7 linked regions of the Oryctolagus cuniculus genome follow. The protein of the gene in region 7 interacts with the protein of the main gene of each other region in a biochemical or structural test. Links are inferred from orthologs where the notes say so. Each region holds a gene or a part of one and is shown on either strand. Other genes may lie near its edges.

Evidence for each region.
Region 1: of the proteins of SRC (region 7) and TAMALIN, one has a biochemical effect on the other in vitro, tested with the Homo sapiens proteins (2 studies listed by BioGRID and IntAct, with this or other methods). The link is inferred for Oryctolagus cuniculus from reciprocal best matches to the Homo sapiens genes SRC and TAMALIN.
Region 2: the proteins of SRC (region 7) and STAT3 form a complex in vitro, tested with the Homo sapiens proteins (3 studies listed by BioGRID). The link is inferred for Oryctolagus cuniculus from reciprocal best matches to the Homo sapiens genes SRC and STAT3.
Region 3: the proteins of SRC (region 7) and LDB3 interact in a test that uses a peptide from one of them, tested with the Homo sapiens proteins (2 studies listed by IntAct, with this or other methods). The link is inferred for Oryctolagus cuniculus from reciprocal best matches to the Homo sapiens genes SRC and LDB3.
Region 4: of the proteins of SRC (region 7) and ENO1, one has a biochemical effect on the other in vitro, tested with the Homo sapiens proteins (4 studies listed by BioGRID). The link is inferred for Oryctolagus cuniculus from reciprocal best matches to the Homo sapiens genes SRC and ENO1.
Region 5: the proteins of SRC (region 7) and MAPT form a complex in vitro, tested with the Homo sapiens proteins (3 studies listed by BioGRID and IntAct, with this or other methods). The link is inferred for Oryctolagus cuniculus from reciprocal best matches to the Homo sapiens genes SRC and MAPT.
Region 6: the proteins of SRC (region 7) and KHDRBS1 form a complex in vitro, tested with the Homo sapiens proteins (8 studies listed by BioGRID, with this or other methods). The link is inferred for Oryctolagus cuniculus from reciprocal best matches to the Homo sapiens genes SRC and KHDRBS1.

The regions. Positions count from the first base shown.
Region 1 is NC_091442.1:55,328,857-55,333,523, reverse strand, and holds the start of TAMALIN (protein TAMALIN), read right to left. Parts: upstream 3,099-4,667; 5' UTR 3,005-3,098; coding exon 2,780-3,004; intron 1,299-2,779; coding exon 1,249-1,298; intron 1-1,248. UniProt on the Homo sapiens protein: Plays a role in intracellular trafficking and contributes to the macromolecular organization of group 1 metabotropic glutamate receptors (mGluRs) at synapses.
Region 2 is NC_091448.1:20,437,298-20,441,960, forward strand, and holds the start of STAT3 (signal transducer and activator of transcription 3), read left to right. Parts: upstream 1-1,466; 5' UTR 1,467-1,511; intron 1,512-2,132; exon of another isoform or gene 2,133-2,267; intron 2,268-3,194; exon of another isoform or gene 3,195-3,365; intron 3,366-3,514; exon of another isoform or gene 3,515-3,572; intron 3,573-3,863; exon of another isoform or gene 3,864-3,980; intron 3,981-4,663. UniProt on the Homo sapiens protein: Signal transducer and transcription activator that mediates cellular responses to interleukins, KITLG/SCF, LEP and other growth factors. Once activated, recruits coactivators, such as NCOA1 or MED1, to the promoter region of the target gene.
Region 3 is NC_091446.1:78,050,091-78,054,111, reverse strand, and holds part of LDB3 (LIM domain-binding protein 3), read right to left. Parts: intron 2,372-4,021; coding exon 1,951-2,371; intron 590-1,950; coding exon 409-589; intron 1-408. UniProt on the Homo sapiens protein: May function as an adapter in striated muscle to couple protein kinase C-mediated signaling via its LIM domains to the cytoskeleton.
Region 4 is NC_091438.1:158,998,754-159,001,475, reverse strand, and holds part of ENO1 (alpha-enolase), read right to left. Parts: intron 1,922-2,722; coding exon 1,724-1,921; intron 1,612-1,723; coding exon 1,410-1,611; intron 542-1,409; coding exon 433-541; intron 162-432; coding exon 103-161; intron 1-102. UniProt on the Homo sapiens protein: Glycolytic enzyme the catalyzes the conversion of 2-phosphoglycerate to phosphoenolpyruvate. In addition to glycolysis, involved in various processes such as growth control, hypoxia tolerance and allergic responses.
Region 5 is NC_091448.1:17,309,769-17,314,531, reverse strand, and holds the start of MAPT (microtubule-associated protein tau), read left to right. Parts: upstream 1-1,656; 5' UTR 1,657-1,831; intron 1,832-4,763. UniProt on the Homo sapiens protein: Promotes microtubule assembly and stability, and might be involved in the establishment and maintenance of neuronal polarity.
Region 6 is NC_091438.1:140,396,373-140,400,393, forward strand, and holds part of KHDRBS1 (KH domain-containing, RNA-binding, signal transduction-associated protein 1), read right to left. Parts: intron 3,900-4,021; coding exon 3,783-3,899; intron 3,026-3,782; coding exon 2,879-3,025; intron 688-2,878; coding exon 554-687; intron 1-553. UniProt on the Homo sapiens protein: Recruited and tyrosine phosphorylated by several receptor systems, for example the T-cell, leptin and insulin receptors. Once phosphorylated, functions as an adapter protein in signal transduction cascades by binding to SH2 and SH3 domain-containing proteins.
Region 7 is NC_091442.1:21,170,062-21,174,082, forward strand, and holds part of SRC (proto-oncogene tyrosine-protein kinase Src), read right to left. Parts: coding exon 3,973-4,021; intron 3,134-3,972; coding exon 3,057-3,133; intron 2,450-3,056; coding exon 2,296-2,449; intron 2,196-2,295; coding exon 2,064-2,195; intron 1,802-2,063; coding exon 1,593-1,801; 3' UTR 1-1,592. UniProt on the Homo sapiens protein: Non-receptor protein tyrosine kinase which is activated following engagement of many different classes of cellular receptors including immune response receptors, integrins and other adhesion receptors, receptor protein tyrosine kinases, G protein-coupled receptors as well as cytokine receptors.

The sequences.
Region 1 (4,667 bases), about 34 Mb from region 7:
GCTCCACGGACAGACGGACAGACACCTTGTCCCGTTCAGGGCCTGCGGGAACTTCCTTCCACATCCTCAGGGAGCCGCCCAGAGCTGGGGGTGGGAGGCCAGGGGTGGCCGGCTCAGGCTTACAATCGCACCCCAGCTTCCTGGCGGCCTGGCTTAGCTACTGGCCGAGGCCCCTAAACTCAGTCCCCACTGGGAGCCTCTTCAGCTCCACAGCTTTGGGCAGGGACTGCCCCGCCCCGCCCAGTCACGAGGCTCAGGCTCAGCTCAGAGACCACAGCTGCTCCTCCCAGCTGCGGTGGGGCCAGCCCACCAGATGTGAGGGCTGGGGGAGGGGAGCCGCAAGGCCGCCCCTTCCCGCACTGCAGGCCTGCCCACTGGACACAATGATCTGGAGCCACTCCAGGTCCTGGCCTGCCTGCTGGGGAGCCCGGAGTTTCCTCTACCCACCCCTCCCCCAGCCCCTTCCTTCCCGCCTGGCCCGAGGCCCCTCTGCGTCTCACAGGCCTGGCGCGGGGACACCCCTTCGAGGGCTGAGCAGCACCCCCACTTCCAAGGGGAGGCCCGGGCACTCTTTCTGCTGTGGGTACAGAGGAGCAGGGGACCCCAGATTGGTGATCTCTCTCTGCAAACGGCCGGCAGGGTGGGGGTGGGGACTGGAGGGCAGGTAAATATCTCAGGCTCTCTCTTATGCTGCCACTCTTTAAAAGTACGGAAACACTTCTCGCCTCCCAAGGGGCGAGTCTGGCAGCCTTGTGTTGAACCACTGGAGAGGGAGCCAGAGACGACCCGCAGCAGAGAAAAGAAACCTCTGCGCACACCTCGTGTCTTTCCTAAGAGAGCTGGGCCCGCTGGGAACAGCGCAGGCCTACAGGCCAGAGGCAGGCTTAGTCGGGCCCAAGCACGTGCACATGGCTCAGCTACGGTGTGGGCTCAGAGACCTGGGTTAGGGCAGCCCCCGCCCCCCCACCCATCTACATCTCTCCAGGGAGGCGTAACTGGCAGGGCCTGGGGGTGGCTGAGGAGCACCTAATGACTCAGAAGTCCCCACCTCCTCTCTCTGACACCCCCTTAACACAGCCCACACCCCCACCTGCCCCTCACTCCCAGGGTGGGGAAGCCAGGCTTGAAGGGAGGGAGAACGCCCCCTGGCGCACAGCGCTGTGCCCCCACCTCCACACAACCCCCCCCCCCCGCCCCAGCCCCTGCTGCAGTCCTGGGGGGCGAGGGTGCTGGGGTGGGGTGACTCACCGATGTTGTTCGGGACTCTGGGTGAGAGTCTTCCAGTGGAATCCTGAGCCCTGAGCGGGAAAGACAGGAAGGAGCAGGTGAGTGGGGTGGTCCTTGCCTGGAGCCCTGGTCTCTGCACGGCGCTCCACCTGGGCTGCAGCCCTGCACACCACACCCCTCTTCCCGTGGCCTGTCTGTCCCTTCCCAACGCCATCCATGCTGGGGCGCTGGCATCACTCTTAGGGTCACCCCCTTACCTGGCTCCCCAGGCTTCGACCCCATCCCACGGCCTTTGGGACAACAGTCCTCCAGGGCTCCCAGGCACAGGGCCCCCTAAGCTCCCTGCTGGTTCCCAGGCTGGTGAGGAATGGAGTCAGTACTCTAGAATGTTCTCTACTCCCAGGACCACGTCTGGGGGGGGAGGTGGCACTCAGGTCTTGCAGACTTTGAAAACTGAGGCAGGCAGGGGCTATCTCCAGGGGTGGGGGACCCTCTGCGCACAAGGCCTCTCTCCCCATGGCCTGGGGGGGGCAGCTATTCCCTGTGGAAGAGCAAGCACATGTCACTTCAAGGGCCAGCTGCACCCTGCGACACCTGGTCTCTCCACATTACCAAGTATTTGAACAAAATGATCTTAGGCGTTCTAACTTGTAAGTCTCCACTACACTCAGCAAGGGAGCTCGGGGGCTGTCGTTGGGGGAGGGCTGCCAGGGCTGGAAGTCCCAGCTTCTGCCCGATGTTTTGGTCTTAGGAGGAAGCCTGGCCCAGACCAGCCCCTACTTGGCGCCTGGGCCTTTCCTGGTCAGGGCCGCCCCAAGGCCAGGCAAAGAGGCCCTCTTTCTCCAGCCTGGGGTGGGGACCTTCCCAAATGGGCTGGGGAGGAAGGCTAGGCAGCAGAGAGAGACCCTTTTGTCTTTCAACCCGATTTTCATAAAATGCAAATTTCCAACAAGCTGTTCATTGTATGGGGGGGGGGGGTCGGAGCCAGGGGAAGGAGGGGGCTGAGTAGGGAAAGGCCACCACCCCTCTCCCTAACCTGGGCCTCGGGTCCCCTCGGGCCAGAGGAAGCCCGGCTCCAAGGGTAGGGGGAGACGCCAAGGGCGGGCGCGGCCGCATCCTTCCTGCCCCGCGGGCGCCCTGCGACCCCTCCCGCCGCGTCCGGTGGCGCCGAAGTCCAGGCAGCAGCCGAAGCTCGCGCACTGCACGGTGTCGGCGCGGGCCAGGCCGGGAGGCTGGGACTCCCCTCGTAAGAGGGCTGATCTCCAGAGTCGGCGGCGCCCACACACGCCGCGGCGCGGCCACCCGCTAGCTCCCCACCCGGGGACCTGGGACCCTCAACTTGTCCATGGCGAGGGTGTCCTGGGGGCTTCGAGACACCCGGACAGGGAGAGACGGGACATGGGGGGCCGGAAGCCAGACGGAGCGGGTGCTGGGGGGGGTTCAGGGAGGGAGGGGCGAAGAGCCACCAAAACGGGGGCGGTAGGGACTGCACCCCACAGGGATGGGAGGAGGCGGGGGTCGGCAGGCACAGGTGGGGGCGCCGCGGACGCACCTTACGGCGGGGCAGGGTACCCCCGGACACGGCGAGCGCGCGGTACAGCTCGGCGGGGTGGTAGTCCTCCAGCGCCGCGTACAGCTCTTCCGCGGGCGGCCCAGGGCTGGCGGCGGCAGCAGGGGGACCCGAGGCCGGCGTCGTGGCGGGGGCCCGGGCGCCGGGGTCCGGGGCTGCCGCCGCCTCCTCTTTCTGCTGCAGCTTCCTGAGCCGGCGGAGGGTCATGTCTCCGCGCCGGGAAGCCCCGGGCAGTCGGCGCTTGCAGCTCTCGGCGGCGCCGCCGGCGGCTCACGGAGACCCGCGGGCGGGCCCCTGGCCGCCTGCCTTTATAGGCTCCGGGCGCGGGGCGGGTCCCGGGGGGCGGGGAGGGTCCTCGCCCCTCCCCTCGCGCCCGGGACCCGCCCCCCGCCTTCGACGGCCGGGGTGCGGGGATCGCGGGGAGCCCCGGGGCTATGCGCGGGCGTTTCGACGCGGAGGTCTGCGTGATCCCTCAACGGGGGCCTGTGAGGGAGGTTGGCGGGAGATTCGAAGCTTGAGGGTGGGTGACTGGAGCAGTCTTCTGAGTGTTGGCGTGGGGGGGGGGCTGGCACAGCACGGGCCACTGTAAGGAAGTTTGGGGCTCCACAGAGATCCAGGGCACCGCAGGAGACCTGATGCCAGGGGAGCGAAGCATTGGGGCTGGGAAGGGCAGAAATTGGGTGGGTGGGGGGACGCCTCTAAACTGCGCCTACGCAGAAGCCCCAAGGGAGAGCGGACCCATGCCTTCGTCTTTTCTTAGGTACCCCAGAATTGTCCAAAGAGGCGGCCGCCTCTTCCCACGCCAGAGGAGAAGCAAGTGAGGGGGGGAAACCTGAGCGCCGTAGCCTGCGTTCTGGGCTGTCTCCTCCCGGGTCCCCGATGGGCCCTATTGCATAAGCCCTTTGCCAGCCACGTGCTGTGGGGTTGGCTCGCGCTCAGCCTTCCTCGGACCCTGCGTTAGGGACACCCCACCGCCACCCCGGGCTGATTGTTGCCATGGCTGCTGGGCTGCTGGAGAGGCAGGCAGTGCCCAGCCGTCTGGCGTCAGGGGTGCCCAAATAAGAAGTGAGAGGAGGAAGTGGAAGGCCACGTCTGGTGTGCGAGGAGGGGCCAGCCACCACAGGGCGGCAGCACGTGGGCGACGGGCGGGTGATGCGCTGTCCCTGCGGCCGCCTCCGCAGGCTTCCCCCTGTCTGCACTGAGCGCATCCCTGGGGCTGCCCCCGCCCCATGTGTGATCTCATCTGGTCGCCATAACAACCCTATCAAATGGGTACCATTCTCTTCCCTTACAGATGAGGAGCAGAAAACTGAGGCTCCAGGTCATCCCAGTGTGGTTCAAACCCCAGCGGCCTGGTCGTAGGCGGATGCTGTCTCCCCCACCCAGCGCTGCAGCTCTGCCCTGTGCCGGGAGCTGGCTAGACGCTGGGGCCAGCAGCAGGTCGTGCAGGTGCAGGGTGACACAGGAGCCCTGGGGAGTTCAGAGGGGGTGTGGCCTGCTGCCCCTGGGGAGCCCTGAAGACTCTGTCCCCTGCCCATCTGGCTGGTTGCTGGTCTGTCTCCTCCCCCCTCCCACCAGGCCCCCAGGGTCCCCAGCCGCTACAGGTGGTGTGAGTGGCAGGGGCTGCTTCTCAACCCCAGATGGCAAGATGCTTGTGGGTGGGGGCAGGGGCGGATTGGGGCCTGCTGGGAGCTAAGCACTTGCTCCCTAAGTACCTTCCCCTCCCTCCTCTACCTAGTGGCCATCCACTGAGGGGCCCAGGTGTGCGGGTGAGGGATCACAGGGCTCATTGTACGTGTCAGTACAGCAGGGTCCCTGGGATGCCACCGGCTGCCTTGCATCTGGGATGGGGGTGGGGGGTGAGGAGCCT
Region 2 (4,663 bases), on a different chromosome or scaffold from region 7:
ATGGCCCAAGTGGTTGGGCCCCTACCACCCATGTGGGAGACCTGGAAGTTCCTGGCTCCTGGCCCAGCTCTAGCTGTTGCAGGCATTTGGGGAGTGAACCAGCAGATGGACGATCAATCTCTCTTCCCTCAATCCTCTGTTTCTCCCCCTCTGTCTCTGTAACTCTGCCTTTTACATAAACAAATAAATAAAAATCCTTAAAAAAAAAAAAAAAGGTAATGACAACCTATGGTGTAGGTACTTTCCTCTTCCTATGTCATAGATGAGGAAACAGATCCAGAGAGGTTCAGGAAGTAGCCTAGGGTCACACCGCCCAGTGGGCAGAGCGGCTGGGAAGTAGACTGAGTCAGGACCTGGCTCTCATCCACCAGGCTGCGCAGTCACCTTGAGGGTATCTTCCAAGCAAGAACATTTGAATACAAAATTACCAAGTCGGAATTATGCTCTCTAGTTAGATCAGGATGCCAAGGCTCAGAGAGGTTAGGGAACTCTCCCAAGGCTGCACAGCTGATCCTGGACCAGAACCTGGATTCAAACTTGGGGTGTCTCACTTCAGTTCCCGGGAGCTTTCACGTGAATGTGACTGCGTCTGTTGCCTGCGGTGATGGCCAAGGGGAGAGAGTGGCTAGGACGCTGCCCAGTATCAGCTTCTACAGCAAAGCTACGGGAAACGAGAGCATGTCCACTCTGGTCAGGAGGAGGCCCCTGGTGGCCTTCACGACCACTGTCCTCTGGTCAGGGGCTGGCAGAAGCCACCTAGGGCGAGCAAGTAGAGATGTGGGGGCAGTGATGAGAAGTGGAGGGGTAACTGAGGAAATACTAGGGTCAAGACAGAAAAGAGGAAGTGTCTTCAGAGACGGAGGGAGGAGAGAATTGATAAAGCTCAGAGGCAGAAGTGGGACACAGAACACTTCCACTTATTCACTACTTACTGAGCAGCTATTATGTGCTCCGCACAAGAGATCACCAAAGAGCCAAGATCCAGTGCAACTAACAGTGTAAGGAGGGAGATAACAAACTCTGTAAACAGATAAATAAAATGAGAGTTGTGATAAGAGTCCAGGAAACTGGACAGAGAGATAGTGATGAACAAGTTGGGACCAACTCTAGGCAGGAGTGGTTAGAGGAAGACTGAGTAAGATGGGAGTGGTGAGGCGGAAGTAGCTGTGCCAAAGCCAGGTGGAGAGAGGGAGCTGGCACATGCCAAGACCAAGGGCTGGGACGTGGCCTGGCTGGAATTCAGTAGGCAGCAGGGAGGGCCTTGCAGGGATGAGATAAAGGAAAACCCCTTCCCCTAAGCTCCCTGGGAAGCCCCGGAGGAACAGAATGGCATGGTGTGAATGCTGCTTAGGCAGTAGGGAATGACACAGCCTTGCCAACAGTGAAGAGGGAGGGCTGTTGATCAGCTGGGGAGAAAGAGAGAGGCTTGCAAGAGGATGCCTGCGGAGCAAGTCCCTGCTCTTCCCGGTGCTGTCAGTGAGAGGAGCCAGGCAGCCCTGTTGCTGAGCCCCGTGAAGGACCCCTTGCCTGTATGTTGTCACCTTTGGTCACCACCATGCCTCACCACCCACCTATCAGCCCAGAGGCCTTCTCTGCCATGCCACGTTTTTGTGTTTTGTTTATTTGAAAGGCAGAGCAACACAAAGACACACACACATAGAGCGATCTTCCGTCTGCTGGTTCACTCCCCAGATGCCAGCAATAGTCGAGGCTGGGTCAGGCCAAGGTCAGGAACCTGGAACTCCATCTGGGTCTCTCATGTGGGTGGCAGAGACCCAAGTGCTTGAGTGACCACCTGCTGCCTCCTCAGGTGCACAGAAGCCATGGAAGCTTCCATGGGAAGCAGAGGCAGGACTTGATCCCAGATGCTACAATACGGGATGTGGGTGTCGCAAGCCACAGCTTAACCTTCAGTGCCCTAAAGCCCACCCCAACCGCGCCTTTTTTTTAATTTTTAATTTGTTTATTTGGAAGGCAGAAATACAGAGAAGGAGGGGGAGAGAGAGAGAGAGAGAGAGATCTTCCATCACCAGTTCATTCCCCAAGTGTCTACAACAGTCAGGTCTGGGCCAGGCTGAAACTGAGAGCCAGGAGCTTCATCCTGGTCTCTCACATGAGTGCAGGGGCCCAAGCACTTGGGCCATCCTCTGCTGCTTTCCCAGGCACATTAGCAGGGAGCGGGATCAGAAGTGGAGCAGCTGGGACTCAAACCTGTGGATGCCGGCACTGCAGGTGGAGGCTTAACCTTCTATGCCACAGCACTGGCCCTGCAGTGTTTAAAAAAAAAAAAAAAAAAAAAAAAAAGGAAAGAAAGGCAGAGTGATGGGGTAGGAACAGAGACCTTCCATCTGCTGGTTACCCCCCAAATGCCTGAAATAGCCAGGACAGGGCCAGCTGAAGCTGGGAGCCAAGTTATTCAACCCAGGTCTCCCAAAGGCTGGCAGGGATCCAGCTGTTTGAGCCATCACCTGCTGCCTCCCAGGGCCTGCATTCGCAGGTTATTAGAATCAGGAGTGCAGCTGAGCGTGGAAGGCGGGCATTCTGATATGGGAGGCACATGTGTTCACTGTGCGGCCAAAGGCCAGCCCCAGGCCTTTTCTTTCTAAGCCTTAGTTTCCACAGTCATAAAATGAGAATTAGAACGCCTATGTCCTTGATCAAATGACAATCTCTGCGTAAAATGCTCAGTACAGTTCCTAGAACATAGTGATTAATAAAGGTTAATTATTTCATTTATAAGGAAGTGGGCTAGTAAATGGATACATTGCAGTTCAAGGTGGGGAAACACCTGCTGACGGCAGCCGAGAGGCAGACTGCCTGGGAGCACCGGGAAAGCCCAGAGGCGGCGATGCTGGAACCGCGCCTTCAAGAATGAGAGAGTTTTCAGCGAGGGAGCGAGGAAATGGAAGAGACATGGTGGGAGGGAAGAAAACCCACAGGGGCTGAAGTGGCGGGTGGTGCTGGCACGCCCTGGGGAAGGTGATCAGGGCAGGGCGGGAGTTCAGGTGGTGTGGGATGAGCCTGGACAAAGGGCTTCAGGTGAGAATACAGGATTTAGGAGTCGAATCGAGAGGACAAGGGGCATCAGCCCAGCTCCTGCCGCATGCCTGGCACTGAGTTAGGAGGTTGGTGCTTTTTTTTGAAGGAACTTGGATTTTTACCCTATGGATCACGGAGAACAGAAGAGATTTTGAGGCAGATGGCGACAGGGCTGAGTATTTATTCATATAACTTTTAGGATGATGCTCCTGGTAGCCAAGGGGAGATCGGGATGGAGTAAGGAGACAGTAGGGAAGCGGCCAGGCTTCGGCTCAAGAGGGAGAAGCTGCAGCGTTCAGCCGGTGGGGATTGGGGTCAGTCGGAGGCTGCAGAGGGTTTTTGTCCCTTTATCAGGCAGGCTCAGAGGTAGATTTCAGGGGAGAACGGTGGCGAGGGCAGTGAGGGGAGTGAACGCTCCTGAGGGGTCAGGGGTCACAGCTTACCAGGATGGAACAAAGCTGTGGCTCTGACCCACCTGGTGCACCTCCGGGTATCGCTGGGATTGGGCCCTCGTTGTCAGCGATGAAGGTGACCTGTTGTGAGAAAGGAGAGGAGAGTGTGTGAGCACCTTCCAAGCAGTAAATCACTGAGCAAATATCAGACCCTCTGCCACCAGGGAGGCCGTGAACTGCAAGGGGCCACACAGCTGGGATGGACTTTAGGGGAGGTGGCCATGGTGAAGATAAAGAGTGATCCATGACCCGTACATGCACTCTGTTTACAAACAGGCAATCCCACACTTCCGGGATCTACAGGACACCCCGAGACAGCTGTCCCAGCACCCCGACACTGACGGTTGCCTTATGGGTTCCCTCACCTCTCACTTGGATTTAAGGGCGCACCAGAAGTCTGAACCTGGAGTCTTGGGGGAACCATGTGAATTGCTGAGTATTTCTGGGGCTGGAATCCGTATTCTCCACCAAACTCTGAGATCCACTCCCCTTCAAAGGTTAAGAGACACTGATTTTTTTTCTCACCAAAAATTAAGAACAGCTATCCTTGGGGAAGACTGAATGAGGCAGGAGGGGGAGATTTTTCATTTAAAAATTTCTGGGAGGGGGGTCTGCCTCTCTTGGAGCCCCCCTCTTGGCTGCTGCATCCGGAGGTTTCTGACTTCAATAAATCTTGTTTTAAAATAAATATTTTGAGGGGCCAGTCCTGAGGCATTGCCGGTAAACCTGCTGCCTTCAGTGCCGGCATCCCGAATGGGAACTGGTTTGAGTCTCAGCTTCTCCACTTCTGATCCAGCTCCTTGCTAATGCTCCTGGGAAAGCAGTGGAAGCTGGCCCCAGGGCTTGGGTCCTTGTATTCAAGTGAGAGACTTGGAAGAAGCTCATGGTTCCTGATTTCAGATCCATCCAGCTCCAGTGGTTGTGGCCATTTGGGGAGTGAACCAGGGGATGGAAGATCTTGCTCTGCTCTCTCTCTGTAACTTTCAAATAAGTCTCTTAAAATTTTTCTGAATTGTTTGAATTTTTAAACCATGAACATGGATTAGTTTCACTGAGAAAAGTGTTATTAGAAGTTACGTGGGTGGTTGAGATAATGGGCCCTTTTTATATTTTATCTTATCTCGTTGTGTTAAACGATTTTTGTTTTTGCTAAAAAAAAAAAAAAAAAAAAA
Region 3 (4,021 bases), on a different chromosome or scaffold from region 7:
GGGGCAGCAGAGGACTGGCCACGTGCCAGGTTCCATGCCTTCTCACAAAAGCTGTCATCCCTGGTCCTCCCATAAACCTCAGGCGAGAGGTCCAGCTTACTCCTGCCATTTGACCAAAGGGGCACGGAGGGGCAAGGCCGCATTCAGGTGAGTGGTGAGGTCAGGCCCATGAAGCAATAACTCGCTCTGCAGACATCTCACAAGCCATGTGGTGCAGGCATATAATCATCTCTTGCTTCAAGTTCATTTGATCCCTGGCTCTTTGGAGGCAGAACGACTCCCTTCTAAGGACAGAGCCCGAGTTGCTTTCTCTCTGTTCTTGGCCTCCTAATGGGAACTCACAATCCTGGGGGAGGAGGAGAAGCTGGTTGGGGGAGATGGGCAAAGATGAGGGTCAGAGTCGCTTACCCCCATGATCTTGGCATTGCACTTGGCGCAGAGTGGGGCAAAGAACTGCTCATAACACCGCTCACAGTAAACGTTGTTCTGCTCCTCCACAAAGCACACGTCTGCCAGGGAGGTCTTGCAGTAGGCACAGTTGAACTCCTCCGGGTGCCAGGAGCGGCCCATGGCTACGAGGAAAGGGCCCCTAGAGAAGCAGAGGGCAGCCGTGAACAAGGCAGCTCCAAACCCTGGGAGCAGGTATTTCAAGAACCCCAGCAGTGTTCACGCGTAACACCGAGTAACTCTGACATCGTGACTGTTCAGTGCAGTGCTGTGAGGGTCCGAGAAAGCTCCCTGCAGAAAAGCGTTCCCTGTTGCATCATAGGAAAGAGAACGAGGAAACAAGTCCCACCTGTCCATGGCAGGTGACGCATGAACATGCAGAGGATTAAGTCACCCCCTGCCAACGCTGGCATCCTTTATGAGCACCAGTTCCAATCCCACTAATGTGCCTGGGAAAGCAGTGGATGATGGCCCAAGCACTTGGGGCCTTGCCACCCATGTGGGAGACCCGGATGGAGATCCAGGCTCCTGGTTTCAGTGGCTCAGCCCTAGCCACTGAAGCCATTTGGGGAGTAAACCAGCAGATGGAAGATCTGTCTATATATAACTCTGCCTTTCAAATGAATAAATCTTAAAAAGAATGATGCTGACAGCTAACACTGATTACATGTTTATCTGTGCCAGGCACAATGCAAGAACTGTGCATTTGTTAACGTGTTTCACCCTCCCAACAACCCTAAGAAGTGGGTGCTATGATGGTGCCCATTTTCAGGCAAGGAAACTGAGACTCTGCATGGTTAAGTAGCTCATCCGAGGCCACAGGGCTGGTAAGTGGGGGACCCGGACACAAACCAGAGTCTAGTTGTAGGTCATGTAGTTGTAGGGATGGTGAGCAAATTTTTTGTATCCTCGCTTTTACTTTTCTGCATTGTCTATTTCTTCTTTAATGAGGATGTGCTACTTTCATTTTAAATAAACATATTTTCCGTGTACCTATGAGCTCATCACATACACACACACACACAGTATGCAAACAAGCACTGTCCACGACTGCTGGCTTCTAAGCATGAAGTGACTTGCTTTCATTCCAGTGTGGCTGATACCCACCAAGGCTCTGGGGCCACACAGGCCTATCTCCAAGAAAGACCCAGTAGCCACTCTAAAGGAAAGCTGGGTCAAAACCCATGGTGTCAGCCAGCTTGCAACATGTCCCATAAGCCTCCAGATTCCCAGCACCCGGCCTTAGCCCAAGGGGTAGCTCCTGGCATAGGTACCATACTGGAGTTTTCCCAACTGACCTCATGGGGCCCTCCCAACCCCGCAGGGACATGGGCCTCACGTGGGTGGCCTGACCCCTTAAGCTCAGAGAGGTCAGCCCAGACAGTGCAGGAGGGACATGCCTGCAGCTCCCTCCTGAATCCTGTACCTCCCCTCCCTCTCTGCCATGGGCGAGCATCCACACCCCTGCCTTCCCCACGTCACCCAGGACACAGCAGGACATACCGGATGATGCTGTTGCAGTGGCCACAGAGTGGAGTTCGGCTGCTGGCTGGGAAGCGCTCAGCCCTCTGGACGGTGCCCCTGGCGAGAGGGGACACCTGGGGCCCTGCCGGGGTGTAGGCTGGGGCCCCCCGTGGCAGGGTCTGCTTGCTGACAGTGGTAGTGGTCTTGCCAGGGGCGAACTTCTGAGAGAAGCTGTCATCTGTCACCCAGGGGGGCCGGCTGGTAGCTTCCGTGGGACCCCCACTGTAGGCCGCTGAGGGTGAAGGGTTATAGTTGGGGGCAGGTGAGGGGGTGTAGGTGGGTGCTGGGGAAGGGGAGTAGGTGGGGGCAGGGGAGGGGGTATAGGAAGGGGCAGGTGAAGGAGTGTAGGGGGCTGGACTGTAACTGGCTCCTGGCGACGGGCTGTAGGTAGGTGCAGGCACTGCAAACCAAAAAGACCAGAAGAAAAATGCATCAGGAATCCATACCCCCCACTTCTTCTTCCCCCAGATAGAGCTGCAAAGAGCAGTAGGATTCCAGTGTTTCAGGGAGACACGTCCCTGAACTTCTGGGTGTCCAGGGATGGGGAAGATCAGGTGCAGGCCTGCCCAGGGAGGAAGCGGGCTTGGAGGAAGGGAGGGGAGGCTGGGCGACGCAGCTATACACATCCATGTGGGCAGGGCTGCCTGCCCCCGGCCTGCAGGAGAGGGGAGTGGGTGGGAGTGGGAGTGGGTCAGTTCGGCCTTGACTGGAGGATGCTCTGCAGTCGCTCTCTGACCAGTGATTTGTCCCAGAAATGCATTTGCTGGGCCTGGATCTAGGCCAGATGTGGGGACCAAGCAGCTGGCCCCCCACAACTGGGGTTTCAGGTTCAGGTTTAGCTACCATCACTTTCTTGAATCATACAGGTTGACTCGATTTGCATGGGGTTGAGGGTGGGGGGGGGTTGTGGTGGTAGTGGTGCAGGTTCCATCTTGGTTTGATCAGGGAGCTAGCCTGGGTGGAGACACTGCGTCTGGGGGAACCCTGCTTCCCCATATCCCCTTGGTAGACACCGACAGTGTATCTGAGCGACCGCCTGAGGCTGCTGTGGAAGCCAGGGCTGGGTCCCTCCTGCTACTTGAGAGAGGAAGCTCTTTTGGGGATCCCAGGACAGAACGGGTGCTGCAGCCGCTAACCAGAGCCCTCTCAGATCTGGGTCCTCAAAACCCAACTTTCTGAACACTCTGCCGCCTCCCAGTGTGAGGCCAGCTGGGCAGACCCCGCTGCTCCCCCCACCCCGCTCATCACCCAGCCGGCCTCCTCCTCCATCGCAGCAGGTGCCAGCAGCCCCGCCCCAGCCCACAGCTTCCAAAGGAGCCCTCCTTCTCCCTCCCTGGGGAAGCACGGGGGCAGCTTCCCACCCCTGCCCCTTAGCCTGGCCTGGGCATGTGGACTGTGCCAAGGCAGCCCCTACTGGGCCTTCCTGAGGAGGAAAGCCCTTCTGCAGGGCTCAAGACCGCGGCCCTACCTGTCGTCTCCCTCTGGGTGACCCTTGGCCTGCTGCTCCAACTCTGTACTTTCTGTTCCTAGTTGACTCACGCTTCAGAGCTGGGAATCACGGGTCTGGGGGTGTGAAGGGGAAAAACCCTCCCCAGCCCTGCCCCGGAGCCACCCTAGGCCAGAGGTGAAACCTTCTCCCTAAGGAATCTTCCTCGCACTTACTAATGGGTGGGCTAGGCACATAATGGATCGTCTGAGTCAGTCCTCACATTATCCCCTTCACCTGTGAGGTCACTGGGGCTCAGAGCCAGGAAGGGGCAGCCTGGGACTCTCCAAGCATTCTCTCCAGCTCCCAGCTGCCCCTGTAAAGAAACCCCCATGCACCATGTCATCAAGGGGTCACCATCAACAGGAGCCCCCATTCCCAGGCATGCAGCACAGTCGTACCGGCTGTATACACTCAGGCAAGTACTGCAGCCTCTCCAGGCCTCAGTTCCCTGAGGCAACAATAATTCTTAGGACCTCGCAGGGTTATTATGAGGATGAAGGGGAAATGAGAAACACAGTGCTGGGGTGAATGTTGTGGCACAGCAATTGAAGCCATCGCTTG
Region 4 (2,722 bases), on a different chromosome or scaffold from region 7:
CGGCGCGCCACAGCCCGACCTGTGCCCACCCCAGAGCCGGGGGTTCCTGGCGGAGGGCAGTACCCCCAGTGGCTGCCCTACGTTATCGGGAACGCTGCATACCTGAGGAGCTGGTTGTACTTGGCCAAGCGCTCAGATCGGCAAGGTGCACCAGTCTTGATCTGGAAGGAGACAACAAAGGTCAGGCTAGTTGCAGTGGATGCGGGATCTACGTGACTATCGGGCAAGCAGAGGGCACCATGGCAGAGACGGGAGTTTGTTAAGGAGGCCCTGGGCCCTGGGAAGCAGGGAAAGCTGGGGCAACCGTCAAGCACAGTAGCTACACGCGGACACGAGGAGAAAGTCACAGACACGACTCCCACTCCTGAGAAGCGGCCCCCTCCCCACCGGGCCTTCCCAGGAAGCTGAGGACAGAGAGGAGCCACCCCTTACCTGCCCGGTGCACAGCCCCACCACCAGGTCAGCAATGAAGGTGTCCTCGGTCTCCCCAGAACGATGAGACACCATGACGCCCCAGCCGTTGGACTGGGCCAGCTTGCACCTGGAAGCAGAGACAACCCCAGGACATGACCTCATTTCCTGGCACCATGACCAAAGGCCTGGGCACAGCCGGAAGGGCTCCCTGGCCGTGGTTCCAACACTGGGCTCAGCCTCCTGCGGGCAGAGACGACTGACAGAACCCTCCTGGCACTCATCCACTGATTCCTCCATCAGATGTTCAGGCCATAAAGGAGCCAGGATCAGCCCACCACTCAACACCCTGGCCCTCATGTGACCACTGCCCTGGAGGGGCCGGCGCTGTGGTATAGCGGGTAAAGCTGCCACCTGCAGTGCTGGCATCCCATATGGGCACCGGTTCAACTCCCGGCTGCTCCACTTCTGATCCACCTCTCTATGGCCTGGGAAAGCAGTGCAAGTTGGCCCAAGTCCTCAGGCCCCTGCACCCGCATGGGAGACCCAGAAGGTGGTCCTGGGGCTATTGGCTTCCAATGGGCTCAGCTCCAGCTGTTACAGCCACTTGGAGAGTGAACCATTGGATAGAAGGCCTCTCTTTAACTATGCCTTTCAAATAATCTATCCTGGTTGTCCCTCTTCCAGTCCAGCTCTCTGCTGTGGCCCAGGAAGGCAGTGGAGGATGGCCCAAGTGCTTGGGCCCTGCATCCGCATGGGAGACCAGGAGGAAGCACCTGGCTCCTGGCTTTGGATTGGTGCAGTGCACTGGCCACAGCGCGCTGGCTGTAGCGGCCATTTGGGGAGGTGAACCAACGGAAGGAAGACCTTTCTCTCTGTCTCTCACTGTCTAACTCTGCCTGTCACAAAATAAAAAATAAAAGCTCCCTGGAGTTCCCACGCGAGGCAGCAGGAATCACAGCTCTAGCTGGGGGTCACCCCCTGGGGCAGACACTCACGCCTGCAGGGACTCGGTCACGGAGCCGATCTGGTTGACCTTGAGCAGGAGGCAGTTGCAGGACTTCTGGTCCACGGCCTTGGCAATCCGCTTGGGGTTGGTCACCGTGAGATCGTCCCCTACCACCTGGATGCCTGCGCTAGCCGTGAACTTCTGCCAAGCTTCCCAGTCATCCTGGTCAAAGGGGTCTTCGATGGACACCACTGGGGAAAGGAGACGCATCTCGTGAGAGCACGCCTGGTCCCCGGGCCTCGCCACGCCTCTCCCACAGCTGTGGACAGCGGCCGCAGGCGGGGGCTGCCACGGGGCACTCACCTGGGTAGTCCCTGACGAAGGACTTGTACAGGTCGGCCAGCTGGTCGGGGGTGATGTACCTGCTGGCATCATCAGGAGACTTGAAGTCCAGGTCATACTTGCCAGACCTGAAGAACTCAGAGGCGGCCACGTCCATGCCGATGACCACCTTGTCAGTGTAGCCAGCCTTCGCGATGGCGTTCTTCAGCAGCTCCAGGGCTGGGAAGAGACGGGGCGCGGGTGAACAGGCGGGTCGCTGCCTCTGGGCCCTGGTGCCCCAGAAAGTGGGAAAGTCAGCACTGACTCAGAGCGCAGCCTTTCTCACCGACCGGTGCTCCCAGATTTAGCGCCTGGAACAGCTGTGCCGGCCAAGATACAGTTACAGTGAGCGGCTGACATCAGCTGTCCTGAGGACAAGGTTTAAATAGAGCAAAGGCTGGGATTCCAGAGAGCCCTGGACAGTCAGCTCCACGCCCAGGCTGCACGGCCAGGAATGCAGGCCCGGGCCGCCGCGCTGGCGTCAGATGCATCAAACACCCGAGCTGCATGGCTACACCAGGGGCACGGCCACTCTGCCCGTCAACAACGGTGAGCAAGCAACCTGCTAGGATTGGGCCAAAAAGCAGGATAAGTAATTCCTTCCTTTTACTAGTTTGCCTTAAAAGCCATAGAAATATGCTCACAAACTTCTTATTCTTTAAATATATTTATATTCGACACATAAATAAGTATGTGTTTATGGGACGTGTTACCTTTCTAAAACAACTCAGCAGTGACTGATTCTTTTTTTTTTTTTTTTGACAGGCAGAGTGGACAGTGAGAGAGAGAGAGAGAGACAGAGAGAAAAGTCTTCCTTTGCCGCTGGTTCACCCTCCAATGGCCGCCGCACCGCGCTGATCCGATGGCAGGAGCCAGGTGCTTTTCCTGGTCTCCCATGGGGGTGCAGGGCCCAAGCACTTGGGCCATCCTCCACTGCACTCCCGGGCCACAGCAGAGAGCTGGCCCGGAAGAGGGGCAACC
Region 5 (4,763 bases), on a different chromosome or scaffold from region 7:
TTGGCACAGGGAGAACGTGAGAGCAGAGACCGACAAAGGCTGCACACGTCCAGAGCCAACAGAGGCGTCTTGAACAAGGATCTGGGCGGTTGGAAGAACAAGTCAAGGCCAGAAACTCAGACCCTGTGGCTTCAGAAATTCGTTCCGGGGCCTGCGCTGTGGTGCAGCAGGTTAACGCCCTGACCTGAGGCACCGGCATCCCATTTGGGCGCCGGTTCTAGTCCCAGCTGCTCCTCTTCCAATCCAGCTCTCTGCTATGGCCTGGGATAGCAGTGGAGGATGGCTCCTGCGCCCACCTGAGAGGCCCGGAGGAAGCTCCTGGCTCCTGGCTTCAGATCAGTGCAGCTCCAGCCATTGCAGCCATCTGGGGAGTGAACCAGTGGATGGAAGACCTCTCTCTGTCTCTACCTCTCTCTGTAACTCTGCCTATCAAATAATAAATAGAATAAATCTGTTTAAGAAAGAAAGAGAGAGAGAGAGAGAGAGAGAGAGAAATTCGCTCCAAGAAACTGCGGGATGCCGCGGGCCACAGGAGTGCCTGGGCTCTGCTCCACCTTCCAGCTTCCTGCCGGGCACACGCTCCTTGGGCAGCTCACCTACCTGGGTCCCTGCCACCCAGACGGACGTCCAAGCTCCTGGGCCAGCCCTGGCTGTTGCAGGAATTTGGGTACAGAACCAGATGGAAGTCAGTATCTTTGTCTCTCTGCCTCTCAAAAATGAAAATCAATGATATTTTTTTTTTCAGTTAGCCCCAGCTCCATCATCTACCCGCTGCTCCCAATAATAATTAAACCCGTGTGAAGACAGGATTTTCACTGTTTGCTTTTTATATTAATCCAAAAGCATACATCGGTCTAAAAAAGGAGCCATGCAAGGAAAGGCTGAGTTCAAGCCCCCGTCCGCGAGGGTGAGACGGCCGCCCCTGCCCCTTTCTGTCTCCCACGTCGGGGCTTCCTCGGATGCTGGGGATGTGTGGACTCCCAGGGCAGCCGCAGGTCAGCTTCAGGCTGCCGAGAGCCATCCCGGCCGACGGTGCCCTGCAGGCACTGGCAGACCCGCGTCGGAAGCTGCACCTGCAGCCGCGGCTGCGCTGCGATCCGAGCAGCCGTTCGTTTAAAAACGAACCCGTAACAGTAGCACCACGACACGGATCGATGAAGCAAAGAAGTGACCTTGTTCAATGACAAAAAAGGGTGACAAGCAGCAAGGAGACAGGCAGCGGGGCCGGTGACCTCCAGCCGGGAGCGCCTTTCGGGGGGACCCGGGGGAGAGGCGCGGAGGTCGCAGGTGCACGGAAACCCGCCGCGGGCTCCCGACATAGGACACCGCCCCGGGCAGATGGAAACCAAAAGGGCAGCATGGCAGCGCGCGTTCAGCTAGGGGCCGGAGGGAGGAGACCCCCCAACAAGACAAAGGCTGCAGCCGCGGGAGGCCTAAAGTGCGCGTGCGCTACGGAGCGCGCGTGCGCGCGGCTGGCCGCGCCGCGGCCCAAGACGTGGGGGAGGGGACTCGGGAGAGGAGTGAGCCGGGGGCCGTGGGCGGGCCGCTCGCGCGCGCCCCCTGGCGGCCGGAGGAGAAGGCGCCCGCGGAGGCCTCGCGGCCCGCCCCGCCCCTGGGGTGGCTCGTGCCCCCGCGGCTCGCGCCTGCGCCTCCGGTCGGGCTCGGGGACGCGCCCCCTCGCCCGCGCGCGCGCGCTCGCAGCCACCGCCACCCACCGGCTCCGGCACCAGCAGCAGCGCCGCCGCCGCCGCTGCACACCGTCTGCACACCGCCAGCGCCGCCGCCTTCCCTCGGCTGCCCGCTGCAGTCCTCGCCGTCTGCCGACTACCAGGTAAGCGCCGGGACTCGGACACCCGCCTCCCGTGCGCTCCGCAAGCCGCCGCAGCCGGAGTTTAATGCCCACCTGCGGCGGGGGCTGGGGCCGGGCGGCGTGGACCGGGGCGCGTGTGTGTGCGTGCGCTTGTGTGGCTGGGGTCCCGGGCGGAGGCTGTGCCCGCAGGGTGGGGCGCGGATGGTGGCCTGGGGGAGGGGGCTGCGCTCTGTCCTCCATCGCAGCCTTTTGCCGCAATGGGCGTGTGTGTGTGTAGGGGGGAGTCCAATGACGACCCCCGAAACCGAACCTCAAATTCGACTTCTCTGCCGCTGTCTGCTGAGAACAAGACCCGGATCGGGTTCTCGAAAAGACGATGGCTCGCACACCTCCGTGCCCGCACCTCCCCGGCGGCGCCCTCCTCGCCGCCCCCTCCTCCGTCCGTTCCTCCTTCAGAAAGCCACAGGGGACATTTGGGGGCTGGGAGGAACCCGAGAGATGGGGAGGGGGCCAGGCGCTGTCATTCCAGCCGCCCTTCCCCCTGCGCGCGCCTGGCACGGGGACTTGGGCAGCGCCGCGCCCGAGGAGAGATGGTGCGTGGGTCCCCGCGGGGACGCCCTCCGAGGCAGGCGGCCCCGGGCCGTGCGACGTGGACGGACTGCGGGGCCGCGGCTCCCGGCTCGCGGGCGCGCACGGCCGCAGCCCTGCACAGCCGGGCGCGGGGGCTGCAGGTGCCTTTCGGGGCGGGTCCCTTTCTCTCGCTCTGCGCCGGGCGCTCCCTGCCGGAGGCGCGGGGCTGGCGCGCAGGGCTCGCCCCTCACTGCGGCAGTGGGTGTGGACCCGGGTGGGCGGCGGAGGGGGGAGCAGGCTGTGCCTCCTCCCACTCCCACCCCTCCCCCGTTTTTTCCCTGCCGAACGCGAGGTGCCATCTTTTTGCGGCTGTCACGTCTTTCTGTTCCCAAGCCGAGCCGGGTGGTCGGGCTCCGCGGAACGGGGCACGGACTGGCCTTGGGTGGGGGGACACCATCAGCCCCGAAATCGCGGCGTTTGGATGCTGCGGGAGTGAGCGCGGGGGTCGAGCACGCGGAATTTTCTTCGACAGCTCGCTGCTTTGTTCCTAGAGCTTACGTGATCCGTGCTCGCGGCCCCGTCTGGGGGTTTCTTCCATTCCACGAGGGCGTTCAGCCAAGACTCCTAGCCCCCTCGTTTCCCACCCTTTGTCGGCTCTTGGTGCTTGCCGGGGGTCCATGAGCCCTGGTCACGAGCCTCCGGGGCGCTGGTGGAACAGCCGCCACCCTTCCCGGAGGTCAGCCCCACGCGGGGGAAGCGCCCTCCCTGCCCAGGGGGGTGGGATTCGGGGTCTGGGCGCGCCGTGCACCTCCCGAGGCTGCCAGCGTCCTGGGGGACACGCCCGCGCGGCTGTCCGGCGATGGGGGCGCGCTCGCCGCCGGCGTCTCTCCCGGCTTTACGCCCTGTTGCTACGCCAGGCTGGAGAATGTCAAGAGGGGGCGTGAGGTTCCCTCGGGCGCCACCGCCACACCCATTTTTTTCCAGACCCACCGAGCTAGCTGAGTGGGGAGTTGCCATGGGAACCGCACGCGTCCGGTGACGGACCCTGGCGGCGTCGCCCCGCCCCCTCCCCGCGGAAATTGGGGACCCAGGGCGGGCCTCGAGATGCGCGCGCTGGGGAGTCCCCCGTCCCTGACCTGTGGCTCTTTCTAATTAGTCCCCGGCGGCCGCAGCCACCCAGACAGGCGTCCCGGATGTATTTTATTATCTTGGCTGGGCTAATTAATATTGCTAAGTGCGAGATTTTCACTTAAGAGTCGGAGTTCGTCGCCGCATTTGGCAGTGAGACGGGGGTATGCGGCCACCTCCCGGGTGATGGCTTTCCGCTTTATTCCAGCGCTGGAAACTGGTGTGGGCGTGGGGCTCCGAGAGCGATGAGCGTGGTCGGGCCAGCTCGTCCGCGCAGGCCTCTCGGGTTCCGCTCCTTGGAACAGCCTGGCTGGGGTGGAGCGCCCGCAGGAGCCGCCCCGGACTGAGTCAAGCATCCTTTTCCCCCAGCCCTTCGCCCCTCGGCAGCGCTGGGGCGGCCCGGGAAAGGGGGAGCCCTTTGCAGCCCCTGGGGAGGAGAGGGAGCCCGGCAGGCACAACACCTTTAGCCCGGTGCCATGGTCCGAGATTTCGCTCCGTTTTGGGGGGCTTAATGGTGTCACCCCAGGACCTTGAGGGAATGCGCAGCGCCCAGCCCCCGCGGTGGTGCCTAGGGACACTCACCCCCGCCCCCTAACGGCTCCAGCAGCGGGGGGCTCTTTTCCCTCCCGGGAGACCCCGCTTACCCCCTGGTACTCAGGAACCTGTAGCTCCAAGTCCTGGCCCAGTGCTGGCTCCCCCTTGGGACAGCGACACTGGCCGGCCCCTCCCCCACCCTGCCCCCTCCACGCCCATACTACGGTGGAAGAGAAATGTCTCTCCCGCTTGGCTGATTCTGAGCTGTGTTTTATGAATTTCCGGCCCCTCATCTCTAACCCTCCCTCTGAGTACAGAAAGAAATGTGTGGCTGGCTGGAGGGGGAGAGGAGGGAAAGCCCCCCCCCCCAGGTCCACAGCCACTCATGACGCTAATCCACCCCCTGGCGTTTGCCTCCGTAACAGGTGTGTTTGGGGCAGTAGCCTGGCTTGGCTTGGGGTTCACCTTGGATGATTTGGGAGGGTTTGTTGGCTTTGCTGGGTGTTGGTGAGTGACAGTCGGTGGCTTGTGTGTCCCTGCTGGCCCAGGCCTTCTCTGCACACGCCCACCACGGAAGGGTGTGGCTTTTAAGTGGTTTCTAGTATCAGGCTCTGCTCCCCAGATAGGAACAAAAGGGATGAATGCCCCTAGGACGCTGGGAGGAAACTTGGAGTGTGTTTGATTGAGCAGAGGTCGGGTTCATCCCAGCTGGGAAGAACCC
Region 6 (4,021 bases), on a different chromosome or scaffold from region 7:
AAAACCCCAAAGGCAGGCCATTTAAAAAATGCTAAGACGGGGCCGGAATTGTGGCACAGTGGGCAAATCTGCAGCCTGCAATGCTGGCATCCTGTGTGATCATTGGTTCAAGTCCTGGCTACTCCAGCTCTGATCTAGTTACCTGTTAATGGCCTGGGAAAAGCAGTGGAAGATGGTCCAAGTGCTTGGGCTCCTGCCACCCATGTCGGGGACCTGGAAGAAGCTCCTGGCTTTGGCCTGGCCTAGCATCAGCCACTGTGGCCACTGGGGAGTGAACAAATGGATGAAAGATTTCTCTCTCTTTAAAATAAAAATAAACCAATCTTTAAAAGAAAAAAACAAAGTAAGACTGTCCAAAATTAACACTTAAAATTTTAGCAGGACTGTAGCACCTGACTATGGTTAAAGTGCCAAAGATCTACAATTCCATTCTTAATGCAACACAGGAATCCCAAGACCCTTCTAAAGCTAGAAATAAGAACAATGCTCTTACAATTATGTTACTACTAGTGGTCATTTATATCCTATTTCTGGCTATTTCCATTATTTTTACCTTGGAACAGGTGGAGGGGGAGGTGCAGCTCCCCGGCCCCTCACTGGCACCCCTCGTCCACGAGAGGGCTCAGGTACTCCATTCAAGTAGGACAGCTCTAGAAATTGCTCCTGGCAGATATCATCCATCATATCCTGGGAATGAAAGATAACAAAGGGTACTGTACAACACTGTCACTTTTTACCGTGAAGTCATCTGGCCCACGTGAGTCTTGGATGCTAGGAACAGCTTGGAAAGGCCAGATAAAGGCTCAGATCACTGACTCTCTGAAGCTGAAGAGCACCCTGCCTGTCACTTCTTTGAAGAAAGCCTTGGTGTTAGACCCGCCATTATTCAGGTGGGGCTCTTCAGGACGTGGTCCCTACCATCCGCTCTCCTCTCAAGCCACACTCAACATTTTGTAGGTCAGAACCTGGCACCCACTCTCATACATCCATCCTTGGCAAATAATTTCCTTTCCCTGGAATAATAAAAGCCACTACCATTAATGGAGCTCTATGAACAAGGCACTACATAATAAGCTTTATATAGATTTTTCAGTTTAATTTTCAAAATGACCCTGAAGTAAGCAAGCAGATCTCTATTTTTACAGTTGGGAAAATAGATTCAAGGAGTATACATCAACCGGACCAAGGGAATGGAGCTTAAAGTGGCAGATTCCAAATGTGAATTCGGTATTAGCTTTCTCCAAAATTTAGACTTTGAATCAACAGACTATACCCCCCCCTTTTTTTTAATATCTACCTGAGGGACTCTTAACTCTTACAAGAGTTCCTAAAATAGTAAAACAGTACTACTATTGACAAACTTTCTCTTGATACCAACTCCATATCTGCTCTTTCCTAAAACACCACATAATTCTTTCTACCTAATAAGCACTTACCACATCATTTTATACCATGTTTATCTTCTCTTACTAGACTGTGAGCTCTTCCAGGAGCCACTTTTGTAACGTCGGAGGCAGCACAGTATTAGGCATCTACCAGATATTTAACAAGTGTTTGGGACAAACAGGAACCTGAGGCTCAGAAAAATGAAAAGATAACTTGTTTCAGACAGAGCTCCCAGCCCAGTGCTCCTCCTAAGGTACACAAAGCCTCATGGCAGAATTAATGGCTCTAAAACGAAAGTGGATATTCCGGCAGGGATGCAAATACAGGCACACTGTTTTTCCTTTACTAGAGGAAGAACAGTCAAATGCCAGACCTTTCCTATTAAGAGCTATTCTGTCTTAATACGTCATGCATTTCTAAGTATCTTAGGTGATTATGGCTTTAGAAGAGTCCAGTCATTAGAAAGATGCTTCCCTCAACTTTTCACTTACTCCTGCTCACTTACTCCTCATTATTGCTTGAAACTCCCATTGGAGAACAAAATAACCAATGCTAGCCCATCGTTCAGATTTCATACTGGAATCCTTGGAGTTCAGCATTATGGGTAAATACCGCTCTACCAATTCTCCTCTCCTCTGACACATTTAGTTCCAACTCCTTCATTTTACAGTCAAGAAAACCAAGGCCTGTACCTCATTTCCTGCTAGTTTTAGTATGAAAAACATGACATTTATTCAACTGTAGCTGAATATTATTCCAAGTCTTTACTAAGTTCCAGATTAATCTTTGATATTAAAATGTGTAACAATCGTATGGTGGTAACTCTAACAACCACTAGGCCTTGCTAAAAGGCAAACATAGTAGCACTTCCCACTTAGAAGTGATAACAAGCAAGACAGATGCCTAGCCTGTTCTAACTCTTCCTAGGCCGCAGCGACAGCCTGAAAGGACCTGTGCATCAATCTATTTAATGTTACAGTCAACGGAGTAACAATCACGCCTCTTCCAAATTAAACTCTAAACGCAACTCCCTGAGACACTCATGAGGACAGTCAAGTCAACTGAATCCATTACTATCAAATACTATACATTTCTGCTGTCACAGCCTCCAGACTCTAATCTACAACATAACTTTGGAGGTAGTCACCTTAGTCAATTTCCTAGTACAACCTCCAGGCTCCACGCTGGTACCAGAGTATTTAGCTTATGAAGACTGTTAACCAGACTGTAGAATGCAGAAACACTGTGGACTCAGAATACCGACAACGGATACTGTACACAATAAGAACCACATTACATAAGAGGAACAGACTAGCCTTGGGGGACAGTGCTTTGAGAACAAGGTATGAGTAATGGACCCTACACGCATATGCAGAATGTGGCACACAACTTCAGCAATGCTCTGCAATCCTAGTTAAAAACTTCTGCCTTTACAACAGCTGAGAGCCCACTTCTCCCTTGCTCAGAAGATACAGGCTATAGATTTCCTTACTGGTACTAGAAACTTCTTGACTTCCTCCATGGCATGGGCCATGAGAGCATAAGCCTCACATGGAGGTCCAAAGACTTCAATGAAGACATGCAGATCCATGTTCAAGTGGGCATATTTAGGGTCTCCACCTTTGCGCAGCTCTTCCTCCTGTGGATAAATGCACAGAAACATCACATCATGTGGACTAGGCCAAAGGGCCAATAAGAAATGAGGGCACTGTACATGGAAGTAGCTTAACCTGCTGTGCCACAATGCCAGCCCCAAAGAGCGAGTTTTTCAACTGTCGCGGGTACGTTGCATCTGAAAAGTTGACCACAGAAGGCTAAGACTATTTTGTTCTGATGGGAAGTTTCCTGGCACTTACAAAGAACACACAGTGTCTGGGCTACGGCATGTAAAAACGACCAGAAGCCTTACTTCTGGGTTACTCAGGATTTCTTGGGAATACCTTTTTTAGTGGGTCTCACATTCCAGGTGGCTATAAAACAAAACAACCGATCTTCAAACTCATCCCCATGCATAACACTACTCTCATTTTTCACATTACTGAAAAAGGAGTATTCATTCACACGTTACTCTCTTTAGCCAGGCTAAGTTTAATACACCTAAAGTTGCCCGGCTCCCCTTTCAAGTTTTCACAGGTAAGTTTACTAAAGCCAAAGATGCTATTGTTTCCATTATTACACAATAAAACGGGGAAAAAAATCAAACACAGGCTCTTCCAGGACTGTCAATCAAGTCAGTTAATTTAGTCTGTTATCTCTTGCATCCAATGAAAACAGAGTCACATATATACAGTCACTGTATATACACGAATTGCTTGCTTCTGTAAGGCATTCCACACTTAACCCTGAGCAAGTAGAACACACTAGGGCATCCTCTTGCCTCACTAATGTGAGCTTACCTTGGCTTTGTCTCTCATTGAACCCTTTCCCAACACAGAGATCTTTGCACCAGTCTCTTCCTGCAGCCTTTTTATTGTATTTCCTTGTGGTCCAAGAATCTTTCCAACAAAATTGAACTGACAGAAATAAAAGAGATTTCTAAATACATATGCTCCTATAAAAATTTCCACATATATTTGTGCTCTGCATTGATTTTCAACAACCCTGTAAAATAGGTAGAGTATTACCACTCCCAGTT
Region 7 (4,021 bases):
AAAAAAAAAAAAAAGGACAGTATTAGGACACCTTATACACAGGGCCTTGAGTGGGTGGGCGGGGTGGGTGGGTGTGTGAGACCGGGCGGGCGAGCAAGCCCAGATCTAACTGGGACGGACGGTAAAAACGAGAGGGAAAATGGAGACTTCGTGGGCAGGCACCGCGCGGCCGCCTCCTGCGCTGCGGGGCCGAGCTGGCTGGAGGTGACCCGCAGCGGAATGTTATTGCTATGACGGGGCCGCAGGTGAGGTGCAGGACGGGTCTGGGGGACGGAGCAGGGGCGTTTTTACATGTTAAATACGACACACACGGAGACACACACATACACACACACGCGGGCACATGGGCACACATACACACACACAGAGGGGCCCTCGGCAAGATGCCACAAACTGCCTGCCGCCTCTTTTACACATGGGCCCTGGGGAAGCCACCACGCACCCTAAGGCCGGACGGCAGCGCCGGGGCCAAAGCGTGGTCTCCTGCTGTCCCAGGGCTGGGCTCACCGTGGCTGCCCCGTCACAAGGCCACAGTAACCTGTGGGGCAGACTGCAGCCCAGAGAGGAAGCCGTCACACAGCCCAGGCGGGAGGCACCCAGGGCCACCCAGCAGGGTGCCAACCTGGGGTAAGGAACAGAGGCCAGACCCTGAAATGCCACAGGACAAGTAAGGGAAGGGGGCCTGGGAGTCCCTCGAGGCCGGAGGCTGCCAGCCTCTTGGCTCTGGTGTCGATTGCCTGCAGAGCCTGGGAGCTCACTCCCGTCCACAGCCGCAGGTTCCAAAGGTCAAAACCAGCCTCACTCAGACGGAAGCTGCCTCGCCACACCTGCGCCGTCCATGTTCCCCCCGCCCCGCCCCGACTCCCGTCTCCAGCGGCTTCGGGCCGCACCCTCGGCCCCTGGGCTGCCCTGCTGTGGTCATGATGCCTGTCGGTTCCTGAGGAAGACAGAGGAGCACCGGGCGCCGATCCCACCTCAGCACAAACTGCTGCGGCCTTGGGCAAGTCCCAGCCCCGCTGGGGATGTGGTTTCCCCGTGGGCAACACGGGGGTGGGCAAGGAACTGCTGCTCTCCACGGGTCCCTGGGGTCTCAGAAGGGTGGGTCTCAGAGGGGAGGGCTCGGGCTGCCCAGCCTGGGAGAGCTGGCGGGCACAGACATGGCAGCCTCCACCCACAGCTGAACCAGAAACGGATGGCGACGGGCAGGGTGGCAGGTGGGCTCAGCCAGGGCCCTCGCTCCTCTTTGGAAAGGTTCTTTGGCCAGCTCTGGAGACAGACCTGGGGCTGCATGGGCCGTGGACAAGAAGCCAGACGCAAGGAGGAGGCTGCGGCCAAAAGGGGCACCTTAGACCCCAGCCCTGCTGCTCGGCTCCTCCCGCAGAGGCCGGAAGAGTCAAGGGGTGAGTGCAGGCGGGAGGCCGGCGGCCTGGGCAGGTGCCAGGCAGCGCTGCCCGGCCCCGTGGGCTGCCTCAGGCCAGCAAAGAGCGAGCGAGGGGCCTCGTCCCGGGCGAGCCAGCCCCACAGAGAGGCTCAAGGGCGGGCAGGCGCAGCCCAGGAGCCAAGCTGAGCAGCCAGTCCGGTCCTGCCCGCTCCTATAGGTTCTCTCCAGGCTGGTACTGGGGCTCGGTGGACGTGAAGTAGTCCTCCAGGAAGGCCTGCAGGTACTCGAAGGTGGGCCGCTCCTCCGGCTCCTTCCGCCAGCATTGGCACATGAGGTCATGCAGGGACTCGGGGCACTCGGGCGGGCAGGGCATCCGGTAGCCCCGCTCCACCTGGTCCAGCACCTCGCGGTTCACCATCCCTGTGGGCAGGGCGGGCATGAGGGGCCGGGCTCCGGGGAGGGGAGCGGGAAGCGGGGAGGGGCGGAGGTGGGGGCAAGAGGGCTTCCTGCCTGGGACATGGGCGGGACCATGGCCAAGTCCTGCCCTGAGGCTGACAGTCCTGACCATGGAGTCTAAGTAGAGATCTCAACCCCTTTGGCCTCCAGGTGGGGAAACTGAAGCCCAGGAAAGGATGTGGCTTGCCCAAGGCCACCAGGGCAGAGGGGTCCAGGGGCTTCTCACCGGGGTAGGGCACCCGTCCCTTTGTGGTGAGCTCCGTTAGCAGGATGCCAAAGGACCACACGTCTGACTTGATGGTGAACCGGCCATAGAGTGCAGCCTCCGGAGCTGTCCACTTGATGGGGAACTTGGCACCTGCAGGGCGGGGAGGAAGCTCAGGGAGGCCCCCTCGGGGTGCCCCGACCGCCCCGCGGGGCCCCCAGAGCAGGGAAGGACCTGGCCGGACCCTGCCCACCTTGCCGGGCCGTGTACTCGTTGTCTTCGATGAGCCGGGCCAGCCCGAAGTCAGCCACCTTGCACACCAGGTTCTCCCCCACCAGGATGTTGGCGGCTCGGAGGTCCCGGTGCACGTAGTTCATCCGCTCCACGTACGCCATGCCTGAGGCAATCTGAGGGCAGGCAGAAGGTCACGGGCACGTGTCCAGGGTGGGGGCCGCCCCCGGGGGGGACAGCCAGCCCTGCTCCCCGCCCTGCCTACTGCTTCAGGCAAGGGAAGTCAATTTACAGTAAACGCCCCTGGCACAAAAGGCAGGAGCCCCATTCAGCAGCAGGTGCAAGGGCAAAGGGCAAAGGGGAGGCGCAAGACAAGACACAGGCCAGGGAGCTGGGAAAGAGGCCCCCGCTGACCCCGACACAGATGACTGCCAAGTTCTGGTGGTTGAGTGGGTCCCCTCACCAGGGTCCCCCTGGTGGCTGCCGGGTCCCCTCAGCTCAGACTTCTCATCCATTGAATGGGAACAGCCAACCTCTTCCTCTCCCGAGTTTTGTAAGGATTATATGAAACAATGGTTGTTGACTAATGTTTGCTGAGTGACTGAATGACCTTAACAAAGAAGAAAACTGGAGCTTCCAAGTAGGGTCTTCCTATGCCAGTGGTATGGCAAGATCACCGAATGTGGGGGCAATTGAGGTGGGCTTCCCAGAGGGGGCACTCAAGAGGCTGGAACCAGCTGGGTGTTTAAGGGCCAAGGGTATAGGGGCCAGGGGCCAACTCACCTGCGCAGCCATGTCCACCAGCTGCGGCAGCCGGAGGTACTTGCCCGTCTCTCCCTTGAGGAAGTCCAGCAAGCTCCCTGGTGGAGAGAGACCTGTTCCAGCCCCTGCCCTCTGCACCCACAGGCGGCACACAGGGACCCCTAGGCCCCTTGCTGGCACGGCAGGCCCAAAGACGGGCAGCTTGGGAAGCAGCAGCGCACGGCTGTGCAAAGGGGACGCTCCAGGCCGGCCGTGGAAAAGGAAGGAGCGCAGGCTCCACTGACCAGGAAGAATCTCCCGTGCAAAGTTGACGCAAACAGAATCAGTGTCCGTGACAGACAGACAGCAGGTCAGTGGCTGCTGGGTTTGCGGCTGGCGGCATACCCTGACTGCAGCAGAGGCTACACGGAGGACCCCTTGGTTAAAACCCACTGAACTGGGGGCCGGCGCCGTGGCGTAGTGGACTAAGTCTCCGCCTGTGGCACCGGCATCCCACCTGGGCTCTCGTTCGAATCCCGGCTGCTTCTCTTCCAATCCAGCTCTCTGTTAATGGCCTCGGAGGGCAATAGAAGATGGCCCAAGTGCTTGGGCCCCTGCACCCGCATGGGAGACCCGGAAGAAGCTCCTGGCTCCTGCTTTGGCCTGGCCCAGCCCCGGCTGTTGTGGCCATTTCGGGAGTGAATCAGCGGATGGAAGACCTCTCTCTGTACCCTCCTCTCTCCCCTGCCTCTAACTTCCTCAGGGATGTCTGATCAAACCTCCGCCAAAGTGGGAGCTTTGAGAAACAGCTGGTTAACTGCAAAGTGGAGCCAGGAGCAAGCCAGGCATGGGGGCCCCCACGTGGCTCAGCCTGCAGGGCTGGGGGTGCCTCCGCCCTCTGGAAGCCACGCCCATGGGAAGGCCACTGGCTTGCGCTCCCCTCCGGGGTGGGACGCACCCTTGCTCATGTACTCCGTGACGATGTAGATGGGCTCCTCGGACACCAC